4 linked regions of the Oryzias latipes genome follow. The main gene of each other region encodes a partner of the protein of the gene in region 2 in a complex. Links are inferred from orthologs where the notes say so. Each region holds a gene or a part of one and is shown on either strand. Other genes may lie near its edges.

Region 1 (3,500 bases), on a different chromosome or scaffold from region 2:
TAAAACATGGGAGAGGAAGCATCATGCTTTGGTGTTGCTTTTCTGCGAAGGAGAAAGATCGACTGTTCCATATTAATAAAAGAATGAATGGAGAAAATTGGAGCAAAAACCTCCTTCCATCAGTGAAAGCATAGAGTTTGAAATGTCAATGGATATTCCAGCAGGACAATGAGCGCCAAACGGGTTGCCGGACAATGATGGAGTGGCTACATAAAAAGTATTTCACGCTTCTGGAGAGGTCTAGTCAGTCCCTGGACTTCATTCTAATAGAGAATCTGTGGAGGGAGTGGAAAGTCGGTGTTGCCCAGCAACATTGCTGCTCTTGAGAAGATCTGCACGGAAGAATGGGCCTAAATAGAAGCTACAGTTCAGAACAACAGGAAACTTTTTACCTTTGTCCTTACCAAACAGTTACATTACAATATATTGAGGTGAACCTTTGTTAAAGATCATAATCTTACTTTCCATACAAAAAAATACAGTTGAAGTGTTTCTATGTACAGGCCAAAACTTAACGGTCTTGTTAAAAAGATAGTTACCATTTTCTTAAAATCACATCCACTTCTGCATCATGACTTCTGTTTGCTGCTACAGGTTTATTATTTTGCGGGCTCATTGTATGTGTGTAACTACCACACCACACCCGTTTATAAATGTAAAAAATACTGGGAACTGTTTTTTCACAGCTCTTTTCACAAACAGCGGAAATGTGACTCAGATGATTTAAAAATCCACCAGTATAGATCTGTTAGGGATTCATCAAAAGGATGAATCACACATTTAAACCACTTTTAATCAACAGACTGGGCGCAAAAAGGGTCATAATGGACTCACAATACTCGATTCCTCTCAGCAAATCCTGGAAGTAAAAACGGGCCTGGTCTTCACCGAACGGTTTATCGGTGGGCACCTCCATTACAGCCCTGGAGAAACATCAGTTAGCAATCATAACTACCAAGAGGGAGTATTATTGCAGTTTTACCATTTCTTCAACAGGATAGGCTGTGCTCACCCTTTTTTCACCAACTCAAACACTGACAAAAACACAGAAGAAATGAATGTTAGTTAGAGGTTGCACTGGTTTCTCAAAAGCAGTCTTTGAAAAAGATTTGTCTAGTTTGAAGTACAGAGAGTCCAGCCAAAGCATACCCATGTACAGATGGTCTTCACTGGGGTCATCCAAAACCTGGCACAGAGTCACAGAGGGAGAGAGAATACTCAATAACATCTACCCAGAATCCTGTTCAATCCTGTTCATTCCTCCAGAGGAATATGTTATTCTGATGATATATAAATAGAGCATGGCTGCATTGATTAAATGTAAGTTTTCACTTTAGCTTTTTAACATACAGGACAAAAATGGTAGCTTTTAACATGGTTAAATGACTCACCTCAACGAGTTTAACAACATTAGGATGGTCCAGTTTTTTGAGAATGGCTATCTCCTGATAAACCCGCTCGAGCGGGCCTTTGGGCTGAGTCGGACCCTCAGGGAGGGCTCGGGCGCCGCGAGGAGCTGGTCTTCCTGAAAAACGTCACAACAAGATGACAGGTGGGGAGGAGCGTGACCTTCAGCATGTGTGCATAGTGTCTCAGGAGCGTTTAATGCATCTGCCCCTTTACTTACGTGGGAACCCTGCCTGCCTCATCAGCTTCTTCTTCGACAACACTTTCATCGCCTGCAAAGAAAAGGGGAAAATGAGTGAGCCAGGAAAAAGAAAATTAACAAAACTGACTTTCAAAACGTCACAGTTCAGTTTCCATTAAAATGTTGGTTTCATGAGCCTCAGGCTGTGGACAAACTGCAAAATGTTTCCACCAATTTTTCCCATCATTCCCTGTTGGACAAAGTTGCACCCATCAGCTCTAGTTTGGAAGATTTGACCCAAAAGTATAATCAACACACCTGGAAATATGTGACCAGAATTTAGGTTAAATAACAGAGGAAATCTTAAAACAATCATTGGTGAACAGAAAGGCAAACAGGCAAATCTTTAGTCTTTCAAAAATACCTAAAGGCTGTAAAAGTGGGTCTCCAGCTTTTGGGATTTAAAGCTCTGATTAAAAAGCTGAACGGTTATTAAGTCTGCACTCTCAGCAGAAACAATACCGGTAGCTAACATCAGTTGGTAAATAATCAAACCCGCATGGAAATCCACTCAATTAGTCAAAGTTCTTCTTCTTCATCTCCCTCAACAATCACGAAAGCCGCATGATAGATTTTAATAGGGCTGCGTGTCGCGTTAAGTGAGGAGTTTTATAATTGCTAGCAAAAAGACACTTTGTATGCTTTATCGAGATTTTTCATTTTAAGAAGTTGATTTATTTGAATAGTCGAAAAAAAAAATCCACAAAACATAGACCTACTCTGATAAAAAACTATGTTTTTGGTGTTTTTCTTATTTCCCAGGAGAATCAGTTAAAAAGTTGTCAAAATATTATTTAATTTAAACGGATGTATAAAGCCAAACAAATTAGTTTTTACAAACTTGACTGTTGAATGGAATGTTTGGAATGCATGTATTAAATGAATGGAATGTGTTTACTGTGTATTTGAACTGTATATTGTGAAATCCGAGCACAGGTGATGGATGCAATGTTTAAAAGGGAGCAGATAATTATAAGAATTGTATTTTTCAATTCTGCTCCCTTCTAATCATGAAAATGTTCAACATGTGAGACAAACATGTAAACATTTGGACATCAATTTTCATGAAAGGAACAAATAAACTTTCATTTCTAAGCATTTCTTTCTTTAAGTTGTTGTGAATCAGGAGCAGAAGCTGCGATGGGCGGACCAAAGTCTCCCAACTCCACTCCATTCTCTCTTGTAGACAAATAGATCCATGAACGTCTTGGTTTTCCTTTTCTGGGCTTGAATCTGGCTCAGAACTGTACGGCTGGATGGCTCCAATATTGCTCACTACTTTTGTTGCACCTGTAATATTAGGCTGGGAGTGTGAGGGGCTGTAAGCTAGCAGGAGAACATGTAAACAGAGTTCTCAGCAATGGGAAAAGCAAAAGGGGCGGGGTTACACCACACTAACGGTCCCACCCACAACTGTAAGGCAAATTTCTAGTAAACTACTGCAGTTTATTAGGACCTCTGATCTGAAGAAAGTCGGAGTGGGTCTTTAAAGCATTAGTTAGCGATGTTGGAGTGTAATAGCTGAAGTAAACCTGAGACAGAACAAACCTTTACAGATGCGTTTAATCTGGTGCGTGTGGGGAAAGAAACTCACATAATATGTGTTGTCATCCTCATTGTAAGCCAGCTTCACAACACCATAGGAGCCCTGAGAAGAGAAAGGAAACAACAAAGACCGGCAACTGAGACTGACGAGGATAAAAAAGCAGCAAACCCACTTTAGACAAATCAAAATCCGGAATGATGAGCAATGTGAGTGGGATGAAGGTTCACAATGAAAAGAGAACAATTACTAAAGCAAGAAATGAGAAATTTGAATTTGTTCTGTTTCAACTATTCAGTTTGTGCTTTT
Region 2 (4,231 bases):
AATCTTTCACGAAATATTAAAAAAGGGAAGGCTTTTTTCTATCTTTTAAAAACTGTTGAAATAAATTTGCTAAGAACAATCTGTTATAAAACAGCTAACTCATCTTCCCCTTCCAGTCTGATTGCAATGACGGCAAATCACTCTATAGGGATGCACTTAAAGAATTTCTCCTGAGGCCCACAAACTACATTTGTAAAGCAATGAAAGAAAACAATGGAATCATTGCACAATGACAATTAGTTTGGCTCATCCGGAGAAAGGATCCATCCTTCTATCATTCGGTCAGTGTCGTCTGCAGTGACGCGAATGAGTGAGATTGGGCTTGTCCAATTCCTAGTTTCCATGGCAATCCATTCATTTAGACATCAGTAGCTCCAGCTGCCACGTGTACATCTAATGCTAGCTAGTGAGAAATTATATTGTACTTAGATTGCTCCAGTGAGGGGGGGGCACGAGAAGGATGGAGACAGAAATGTTCCCACAAGGACTCAAGGGCAGCTGCAGTGTAAATGAAAACTGTCACTGCACGTGTCCCACTGACCTTCTCTTCGGCTCTAAGTGACCTTTTTACCTGTTTTAAGCTCCGTGATGTGACATCACTCTGACTCGGACAGATAATTTTGGATCTGGATGGATCAGTATGACTGCACAGAGGTCATACCACTCTGGGTAAATGATTGGAAGAGGCGCTCTGTGCTGGCATAGATCGATGGAGTTTTCAAAAACGGCTGTTACATATGCAGGAAAGACACACTGATATTCAGCTGTACTATACCAACGCTTTCAATTTTTCTCTGTTCAGTCAGAGGGGCGTAAAGATGGCACACGTGACGTCACTAAATTGGCACAGATGGAATTGCCTTCACAGGGCCTGTCCAAAAATGCACACGCAATGATCCGATTTGACCGCAGGCGACAACTGTGAGGCTTTCGCTATGAAATGAAGCAGATTCATATTGATCTGATAATAATTTTTGTAGAGCGCACGAACAGAGGAGCACTTAAAATTTAATGATTGCAGCGATCACTGCTGGAACTGCAGCTATGCTCGGCGTACATCAAACATTTTGGCGTTCAATTGTCATTATTGAAGGGTTACAACAAGGTCATTAAGAGTGGCCCATCCGTTATTTGAATGACGAAGGAAATATTTGCTGGTGTCAAGAAAAAATTTTTTTTTTTTAACAATTGGATTGATTTTTCTGGTTTCACGCTGCTGGTCGAAGCTGATTTGTGAAGGCCATTTCTTTAATTGATAACCACGAAGAGCAGCGTTGCATTTTTCATGAGGAACACGAAGGTGACAGCCTCTCATTTGTCATTTGTGGATGCAGTGGCAAGGGATTCCCTTCGAATAAAAGGGCACCCCTCACCGCCACCCCATCCCACCTCTTCTTCAAAAGAATCAAGAAAGGCAAAGGAATCCCTCCTCACCACCTGCAACCAGAAACCCTTCATGGCAAACGATCCAAATAGGCTCTGATGTTCTACAGGGGCATTAAGACACAATGTTCCTCCCGTGCCGGGCTCTTTATCTGGGCATGGACTGGCAAGTCTGGATGCTGCTGGTTTCACTGTGAGCTGGTGTGACACAGCAGTTCTTAATGCCCACCGGTGCATCCGGTGTCAAAATTTCTTAAGGGCCCCAAAGGAGAGAGGGAGGGGGAAAGAGGAAGAAAAAGCAGACAAAGACTTAGTCCTGAGCAGCCAATAAGAGCTGAGAGAGCTAATGTGTGGCAAGCCAGCCATGTCATCCTCTTCCCATCATATATTGCACTGCTCAATCAGGGTCGTCCCCCTGAAATAACTTTAAATCGCCCCTGGATTTCAGCCCTGACACACTCAGGACGGACACGAGCACAGACGAGAGTCTAAAACGTCTGGGATAGAAATAAGTCTCTGCAATATGACAGCAGATATTCTAGTGCTGCCTCCTATTTGATGAAATGAAGGATTAGAGAGGCTTTTTCCTGAGGTGATCATGCTCAGATAATGCCCTTAAGCCTTGTATCAACATGAGCAGTTGTGGGTAATTATTATCGTTATAATTTAAGTGATAAGTATAAGAGAATGGGGGATGGGGGTGGAGGCAGCTCACATGATGTAGCAGAGGCTCCAACTGTATGAATTCAACATAATGGAGGGAGAGGAGGTGGGGTACTACAAGAGGGGGGGGGGGGGGCAGTTAATGGAAGTGAGCAAGGCCATTATATGATGAGCGGCAGATGATGCATAGTGGGGCTTGCATGCATTTCATTCTAATACCCTTTCAATAAAATGTACAACCGACAGAGGCACCGCCCAAACACCGGAAAGTCTGGACCCGACTGCTGAGTAAAAAATGAAAAATAATTTTCCAAAAAAAAGAGGACGTGAGGTGTCAACATTGCCTCAACTGTGGAGCAAATTATGATTAAATTCGAATTTTTTGGATCAGTGCGCCGGTAAAATTGAGCCAGCGTGCGCGCAGATTTACAGCCGTGGCGCGTTTTTACGCAGACGCAGCAGACTCACCATCACTCACACGATTTTCATCCTCTCTGGAAAGTGACTTACCGACTTCATAGCAGCTGCCATGTCATCATACCGCTCAGCCTGTTCAGCCAGCCTGGCTTTCTGCACCAGCTGCTCGCGATCAACCATTTTCTTCTATGATATTTGGTTGCCTAGTCAAGCTTATTCGGGTGGCTTATGTGGGTAAAATAATCGATATTTGAAATCGCAATGCAGTGAAACTTAACACGAGCCTTCTGCTGCAGCTGCTCTCTGCTGTCTGACTGAGCTGCGCGCAGACGGGACACCCTCTCCTCACCCCCACCCTCTCACATTCCTCCTCCTCCTGCTTCTCCTCCATGGGCTGCGTCATCACTCGGGAAGGTGGGTGTCTGTGCCAATGATGTAACGCTCCGTACATGGGGGATAGTGGGCCAGGCTTGTGGGCATGGCCGTGTAAAACGGCTGTGATTTCCAGGGCTTCAGCTTTCCGAAAGCCCCCTTTGTTTCCAAACCATTGACTGTATAGGAAGTGTGATGTTACTTAGAGCAAATTACTTGCTTCCGGTTCCAAAGAAATCCAATCAGTTTTTTTGCTATACAGTAATCCCCCCGTATTCGCGGGGGTTACGTTCCTCACCCCCTGCGAATAACAAAAATCCGCGAATGATTGACGCTGTTTTAAAACTCCCAGAGCCAGAGCCTCTGCAGAGTCAGAACCTTTTTCTGCCGTTTGGGTTCATTTCCAGAAGCTGGAGATGATGCAGGGTGTTTGGATGGCATCTTAAACGCGTAAACAATACTTTACAGTAAAGTACAGAGTAAATCGTTTTTCAAAATTTGCGGACTGAGCGCTGTTCTGTGCCTCATGCTTCTGACGTCACGTCATCTGTGGCCACCCGCGAATGGGCGGGGCGCGAATATTAAACCGCGAATGGGCGGGGGATTACTGTACAGCCGTAGAAGTGTTGGAACAATGCCAGTAATGCTACATTCACAAATACAACTGCCACCGCGCCATGGGGAGGCTTTGCCAGAATCTCACGCCACTTTCCGATTATTTAAATATTGTTGGCAATTTCTTTTGGGTTTTGTTTTTCATTTGAGTTCTGAATTTGAACTAAATCAGAATAACTTTTTTCTCATGGTGATTTTATATTTTGCTGAAACATCCTGATCTTGAGGAAGAAACTGCTTTTTTACCCCCACTATAGTTTTGAAGCTGAACACAGCTATGGGTTAACTTGAACAAAAGTCAAAGTCTTGAAACTAGATGTTAATTCTGTTACATAGACAAGGTTTAATTAAAAGGCGACCTTTGCCTTTTTTGCTCATAGTATCATGTGTTTGTCAGCATTCAAGCTTTAAAGTCCCACTCCAGTCATTTTTAATCTATTTAAAAAAAAATTTCCAGTGTTTTTTTAATTATCATTATACTGTTTTGGGGCAAAATAATTAAAAAAAAAAATTCTGTGTCCGTTTCTAGGACATAGTTTCTGCAGAGTGGCAGTGGTTCATTAGAAGTTTGCTCGGTGTTGGGTGTGGTTACACTTCTCCCACTAACTTACAACCCCAAGCTAACGCTAGCGGTGCAACAAAAATGGCGAGCAATATTGGAGCTATTCAGCCGTACCGTCTCTTGCCAGATTCCATCTCAGACGAGAAAAAAAGTAAAAGTCAATGGATGTATTCGTCTGCAAGTAGATGCATTGCAATAGCGCAGAGCAGGGAGCTTGTG
Region 3 (2,764 bases), on a different chromosome or scaffold from region 2:
GAATCCCGCTCTGTGTCTGCCTTTTATTCCTCACCCAGTGCGCCTGCTGAGTTGCTGAAAAATCTGACAGTAGATTACTGTAATACATTCAAATGAAAGATCATCACGCCGAAAAACTGCTGCCGCCCTCATCAGACATCAAAACCCTTCTCTACCAGATTAATTTGTTTAATCAGCCATTTTTTGTCTCATCTTTCAGATATCAGGATCTTCTTTGCCATATCCAACTCAGGAGGAGTTTGCTCCGAAGAGAGCAAAGACTCTCGGTGAGTTTCACTGTCATGCGTTCGTTTTTTTAGACATACAGTGGCCTAAAACTGAGCAAAAAAACAAATGTTTTGGAGCCAGCAGCTCCCTGACGATGGGGTCTTTGGGATCCCAACTGGTAACAGACTTTATAGTGTCTCCAATTTTTCAGACTGTAATGAGAAAAGTGCAGGTACTTGTTTGTATTAAGTACAAACACCACACCCCAGGGGTGACTCATTCACAGCCTTCCAGCACAAAGTCTGTGAGCTTCCTAAATAGTAACGTTAATCTGTTCCTTTGTTATGTGTTTGTATGTCTTCACCACAGAGTCCATGGAGTCCAGTCTCGATGCTGACAGTCCCATCAACACCCCCGTTCTGGCATGCTCAGCTGACTTTTACCTGTCTCACTGTCAACAGGTAGATCGCTGACCAGCAGCGGGTTGTTTCATCGTGTTACATTCCCTCACGTTGCTTATTCTCTGCGTGCTTCTGCTCTTCTGACTGAAGTCTTACAGGATGAATTCTTCTCCTCGGGGTTCAGTCTTGGTGATCAGTAACATCAACTTTGACCCCCGTGCTGCCCCTGAGCTTGACCCAAGGAAGGGAGGTGAGGTGGACGACGAGGTCCTCAGGAAGCTCTTCACTGAGCTGGACTATTCAGTAAATTTCCACAGAGACCTGACCGCTCAGGTGAGACTCTCGCAGCATAAATGAGTTGTAAAGTCATATATTTTATCAGTATGCTTTGGTGCAGACATTTAAGTGACGCTGCAAATCTGTCACAAGTTGTAGCTTCAAATATTTAAGTTTTTTGTTTCATTTATTCTTTTTTTTTACCAGTTTGGAGAGAAAAACTAGTTTGGATTGGTTAGGAAAACTTTGACAAGCTTTAACACATTAAATGCTTTTGTGGAGAGTTTTTTTATTTAGTTTTTCTATTAAAAAAAACAGACAATGAAATAGCAGGACTTTTAAGCTCCTGTGTAGCAACTACCATCCTTTATTTTTTCTCCAGGACATGAAGATGGTCATTGAGAACTTCTGCAGACGACCAGATCACCAGAAAGTTGATAGCTGTGTGGTGTGTCTGCTTTCCCACGGCGTGGATGGAGCCATTTATGGCACGGATGGGCAGCAGCTGGCGGTGAGCTTATCTTATATTTTTTGCTGTATGCTTTATGACTTTAAACAGCAAAGAAGCCGCGTTTGTTTATTTTAAATGTAAACTTGTCGTTTTCAGCTGGACTGGGTGTTTGAGGCCTTCGACAACGCACATTGCCCGCTGCTGCAAAACAAACCAAAAATGTTTTTCATTCAGGCCTGCAGAGGAGGTAAAAAAGGAGGATGTTTGCTCAAGATTTGGTAAAGCTTTGTCTTTAACTTGCTGGGATTTATGCTAGAGGAATAGAGTGTTGGAAAACAGATGGATGCAAACATATATGTATTTTTAAAAACTTTCATTCTAGTACTTTCTAGCTTTACTGATTAACATTTTGCCAACTAAAAATTGTGTTCAGCTTGCAAAACTTTTTATTTTTTGCCCATTTTAATTTGGCATTGCCTGAACTTAAGCTTTTTTTATCCTACCAGATGAGATGGACTGTGGCGTGGAGCAGATAGATGGGCCGGCGAGGACCTTTTCGCCAACCTGTGAACAGCGGGATGCTGGGAGGGAGGAGCAGGGGGACGCAGACGGCAGGCAGAGAGCGAGCACAGGGAGGCAAAGGATTAAACTGCCTCAGCGGTCGGACATGATCTGCGGCTTTGCTTCTCTCAAAGGTCAGAGAATTTGTAAGTTGGTCCCATTTGCTATTCAGAGCTTCATTTATTCATGAACTGCGAACCACGTTCATCAAATTGTGATGCAAATCATTTTTACCCAGTAATGAGCACATCAGTTGTGTTTCAGCTAAATAAAAAAAATTGTGATCAAAGAAAACATTTTTCAAACTGTTCTGAAAAGAAATGTCACTTACTGTCTTTATTGTGTTTGAGAATACATCCTAATCTGCCTGTAGGAACATGAACCTCAATACCTGTCAGAACATGATTGTGTGATCTTTTTATAACTGAAAAAGGAGCCAGGAAAGAATAGATTTCTATGTCGACATGTCCTAAAGAGGAAATCTTTTTACAAACATTTCTTCAACGTGAAAAAAAGCTGTTTCTAATTATTGAGATTGTCTTATTTTTTCAATCTATGTAGTCTGAGAATGTTTTAAGTTTATTTTGGTTGGTTTCAAACTTGGGAAAATAAGGTAAAAAGTGAAATTTAAAGTGCTCAGCATAAATGACTACACCCACTTTAATAAGTATTAATTTAATCAGTAACTCAATGAACAAAAGAAAAATTTCCAAACTTTCCACAAGTTATAGTTTTATTGAACACTTCTTTAATTCTATTACATGAAATAAAGGTTAATGATCTATCTTAGATCACATAATCTTCAGTTTTGCTTAAATTGGTTGAAGCAAAAATGAATACACCCTGGAACAAAAACTACTACATCCAG
Region 4 (3,036 bases), on a different chromosome or scaffold from region 2:
AATGTAAAGCTCGTTTCTGCATCGTAAAATGGTTCATGAGGGGTTGAGTGATTCAGACGGAGCACGACTGAAGGCCCAGGTGTGTAATACACGGTCCGCCACTGATTTCAAGTGGTAGGGGTGTGGCCTTCCAACAAGGTCACTCCTGATTGGTGAGAGTGGTTCCATGGACACAATGACTGACGCTGTCTGGTTCCAACATCCGTATCACAAAAAGATGGCAGAACTAAACCATTTTCTATGGGTAACGTCCCACTCACGCTCCAGCGCTCATGTTCACTTTCTGTCTTACCATTTTGTGGACTCAAAACCAACCAAACCTCTCTTATAAAAATAACTAAAAAAGGAGCAAGTATGAGAAAAAAATGAATCCACTGTCAGTTTGCAAAAAGTAAGTGAAGTGTTTCAACAGCAAGTCGTCTAAATCCACAGAACTTCAGATGGTTGAGCTCAGATGTGCTTTATGTACCTGACATTCACAGAAATCTGTGAGCACCAACTGAAGTTTTGCAAACGTTTCACTTTTATTTACAGCCTTCAACTTCTTTCTGTACACACCTGATATAATCTGAAGGCAAACATTGATAAGTCATTTTACACAAAAATGCACTGTCATCACTTCTGTGTTTGTTTAGGCTCATGTGATTCCATTCAAAAAGAAATCTACAGCTGAACAAAAGCAACACCTGTTGCTCACATTTGTCCTTTTTAACAACTAGTGCTTTAAAAATAATCCCAAATTATAAAAAGGTTCAAAGCCCTGTTGCTCGTCTATGGATGTGTTTCCAGCTGGCTTCTCAGAGTCGGGTGTCCTGAACTTCATCCTCAGCTTCCTCTGGCAGTGAGGAGATCTTGGTGGTCTGTGGCAGGGGCCTCTTGGTGGAGTTGAGACGGTGGAGCATTGGGAAACGGTGCTGGTCTGCAGGGCTTATAGCCTGTCTCAGGTGGGCCACCTCACTCATGAGTTTCTGAATGGACTCATAGTTTTTCAAGGCACCATTCTCGACCATCTGCAGAGGAGGGAGGCATGAGAAGCTGTTTACCTCAGGAAAGGATACACTTGTGTCAACCATTTGCTTTTATTAACTTGCCAGCTGTGGCTAAGAATAATGCAATAATAACTGATTCAGTGAATCAATTTGTTGTTATTGATGCTTAGAGATTGTCTACATGGCTTTCTTATTTGCCCATTAAGCATAGGAAACATGCAGCAATTGAGTTTGACAGAGCATTTCTTGTTTTGATCAAATCTGTTGACTCTCATGGATCCATGTCACTTCAAGTCCTGGGTAATCCCCTACCGGCAGCTCGGCCCCCATCCCAAACAAACACATGTCTACACCTAAAACATGGGGGTGGTTCATGTTGATTCTCGTTCTATAATCACAGATATTTAAAATGTGGCTCATGGATTTTCTGCATCACTATAAAGAAGCAGAGTGATCATCCTAGATCAACATAAAAAGAAGAAAAGTGATCATCCTTCATCTCTACGCAAAGAAGCACATTGATTATCCTGAAACTTTATACAAAAGAACCTGAGTTATCATATCCCTAAGATAAAGCTGATCCTAGATCTCTAAAATTAAGCAGATTAATCATCCCGCATTTCTATAAAAATAAAAAAGTGATCATCCTGCATCTCTAATAAGAAGTGGAATGATCATTTTAGATTACTAAAAAAAGAAGCAGAGTAATCATCTTTCATTTCTATAAAATAAAGCAGAGTGATCATCCTAGATCTGTATCACATGAAGTTATCATCCTGTATTGCTATGAAATGAAACAGAGTGATCATCCTGCAGTTCTACACTAAAAAGTGGAGCGATAATCCTTAATCTTTACTAAAAGCAGAGAAGCGATCACTCTAGATCTCTATAAATTGTTATTTTGTTGCAGTTGTTGCTGTTTCTACAATTTGTACAATTTACAATAAAAAAAAAATCGACAACGGCGGGTTGCATAAGGAATCAGGCATTTGCAGTTGACCACCTATTTTTTGTATATATTTTATTATTATTAGATTATTTCTGAATGTCGTTTTTTTGCTGCCACAGATATATGAAATTTCCCCATCTATCTATCTATCTATCTATCTATCTATCTATCTATCTATCTATCTATCTATCTATCTATCTATCTATCTATCTATCTATCTATCTATCTATCTATCTATCTATCTATCTATCTATCTATCTATCTATCTATCTATCTATCTATCTATCTATCTATCTATCTATCTATCTATCTATCTATCTATCTATCTACCTACCTACCTACCTACCTACCTACCTACCTACCTACCTACCTACCTACCTACCTACCTACCTACCTACCTACCTACCTACCTACCTACCTACCTACCTACCTACCTACCTACCTACCTACCTACCTACCTACCTACCTACCTACCTACCTACCTACCTACCTACCTACCTACCTACCTACCTACCTACCTATCTACCTATCTACCTATCTATCTATCTATCTATCTATCTATCATCTAAAAAAAGCAGCGTGAATATCCCGTATCTCTAAAAAAAGAAGCACGATCATCCTAAGTCTCTATTAAAAAAAGAGAAATAATAATCACGTCTCTGAAAAGAAGCGTGGAGATCATCTGTCAGAGACTCACAAGGAACGACTGACACTCCAGCAGAGGCTCCACTCTGTGCTCCGACAGGATGACGGTGCAGTTGGAGAAGGACTGCTTTAGGGTCTTCCTCAGGATCACCAGAGTTCTGTTCACATACACACACATCAATACGGAAGGCCACGGACACATCAGACATTAGAAGAATCATTTAACATCTCTGCTCACACACTTCACAAACAAAGAGCTCCAAGTTCCTGGAAGGACTAGATTGTCACCAGGTGCACTGGAATCTGCAGGGTCATCTTTGTATTTTATTAAATATGTTTGAAACCAAAACATGCAACCAGGCTGTACATGTGAGTGTAAACTTATGTTTAGTGATCTGCACTGAAACTCCAACACATCCTGGTCTCCATTCGAAGAGGCCTAAATGAACTTTC

Evidence for each region. Proteins that work in one complex are often made in the same cells at the same time.
Region 1: the proteins of ywhag (region 2) and calcium/calmodulin-dependent protein kinase kinase 2 are in contact, whole or in part, in a crystal structure (PDB 6Y6B), measured with the Homo sapiens proteins. The link is inferred for Oryzias latipes from reciprocal best matches to the Homo sapiens genes YWHAG and CAMKK2. Residues at the interface, in NP_036611.2 of Homo sapiens: Ser46, Val47, Lys50, Asn51, Arg57, Arg132, Tyr133, Gly174, Leu177, Asn178, Val181, Glu185, Ile222, Leu225, Asn229, Trp233; in NP_001257414.1 of Homo sapiens: Leu99, Ser100, Leu101, Gln102, Glu103, Arg104.
Region 3: the proteins of ywhag (region 2) and casp2 are in contact, whole or in part, in a crystal structure (PDB 6S9K), measured with the Homo sapiens proteins. The link is inferred for Oryzias latipes from reciprocal best matches to the Homo sapiens genes YWHAG and CASP2. Residues at the interface, in NP_036611.2 of Homo sapiens: Glu15, Asn43, Val47, Arg57, Arg61, Lys125, Arg132, Tyr133, Pro170, Gly174, Leu177, Asn178, Val181, Glu185, Glu213, Asp214, Lys217, Asp218, Leu221, Ile222, Leu225, Asn229, Leu232, Trp233; in NP_116764.2 of Homo sapiens: Asp137, Leu138, Ser139, Leu140, Pro141, Phe142, Pro143, Val144, Cys145, Glu146, Leu150, Lys152, Lys153, Leu154, Ser157.
Region 4: the proteins of ywhag (region 2) and cftr are in contact, whole or in part, in a crystal structure (PDB 5D3E), measured with the Homo sapiens proteins. The link is inferred for Oryzias latipes from reciprocal best matches to the Homo sapiens genes YWHAG and CFTR. Residues at the interface, in NP_036611.2 of Homo sapiens: Lys50, Arg57, Arg61, Lys125, Arg132, Tyr133, Leu177, Asn178, Val181, Glu185, Ile222, Leu225, Asn229, Leu232; in NP_000483.3 of Homo sapiens: Arg766, Gln767, Ser768, Val769, Leu770.

What each region holds. Positions count from the first base shown.
Region 1 is NC_019870.2:16,114,568-16,118,067, forward strand, and holds part of calcium/calmodulin-dependent protein kinase kinase 2, read right to left. Parts: intron 3,297-3,500; coding exon 3,243-3,296; intron 1,680-3,242; coding exon 1,628-1,679; intron 1,526-1,627; coding exon 1,392-1,525; intron 1,187-1,391; coding exon 1,150-1,186; intron 1,035-1,149; coding exon 1,013-1,034; intron 924-1,012; coding exon 835-923; intron 1-834. UniProt on the Homo sapiens protein: Calcium/calmodulin-dependent protein kinase belonging to a proposed calcium-triggered signaling cascade involved in a number of cellular processes. Isoform 1, isoform 2 and isoform 3 phosphorylate CAMK1 and CAMK4. Isoform 3 phosphorylates CAMK1D.
Region 2 is NC_019871.2:9,989,402-9,993,632, forward strand, and holds the start of ywhag (14-3-3 protein gamma), read right to left. Parts: upstream 2,801-4,231; 5' UTR 2,644-2,800; coding exon 2,557-2,643; intron 1-2,556. UniProt on the Homo sapiens protein: Adapter protein implicated in the regulation of a large spectrum of both general and specialized signaling pathways. Binds to a large number of partners, usually by recognition of a phosphoserine or phosphothreonine motif.
Region 3 is NC_019874.2:20,112,259-20,115,022, forward strand, and holds part of casp2 (caspase-2), read left to right. Parts: intron 1-199; coding exon 200-266; intron 267-576; coding exon 577-668; intron 669-758; coding exon 759-941; intron 942-1,266; coding exon 1,267-1,395; intron 1,396-1,491; coding exon 1,492-1,582; intron 1,583-1,841; coding exon 1,842-2,042; intron 2,043-2,764. UniProt on the Homo sapiens protein: Is a regulator of the cascade of caspases responsible for apoptosis execution. Might function by either activating some proteins required for cell death or inactivating proteins necessary for cell survival.
Region 4 is NC_019864.2:3,359,752-3,362,787, reverse strand, and holds the end of cftr (cystic fibrosis transmembrane conductance regulator), read right to left. Parts: intron 2,742-3,036; coding exon 2,636-2,741; intron 1,011-2,635; coding exon 798-1,010; 3' UTR 501-797; downstream 1-500. UniProt on the Homo sapiens protein: Epithelial ion channel that plays an important role in the regulation of epithelial ion and water transport and fluid homeostasis. Mediates the transport of chloride ions across the cell membrane.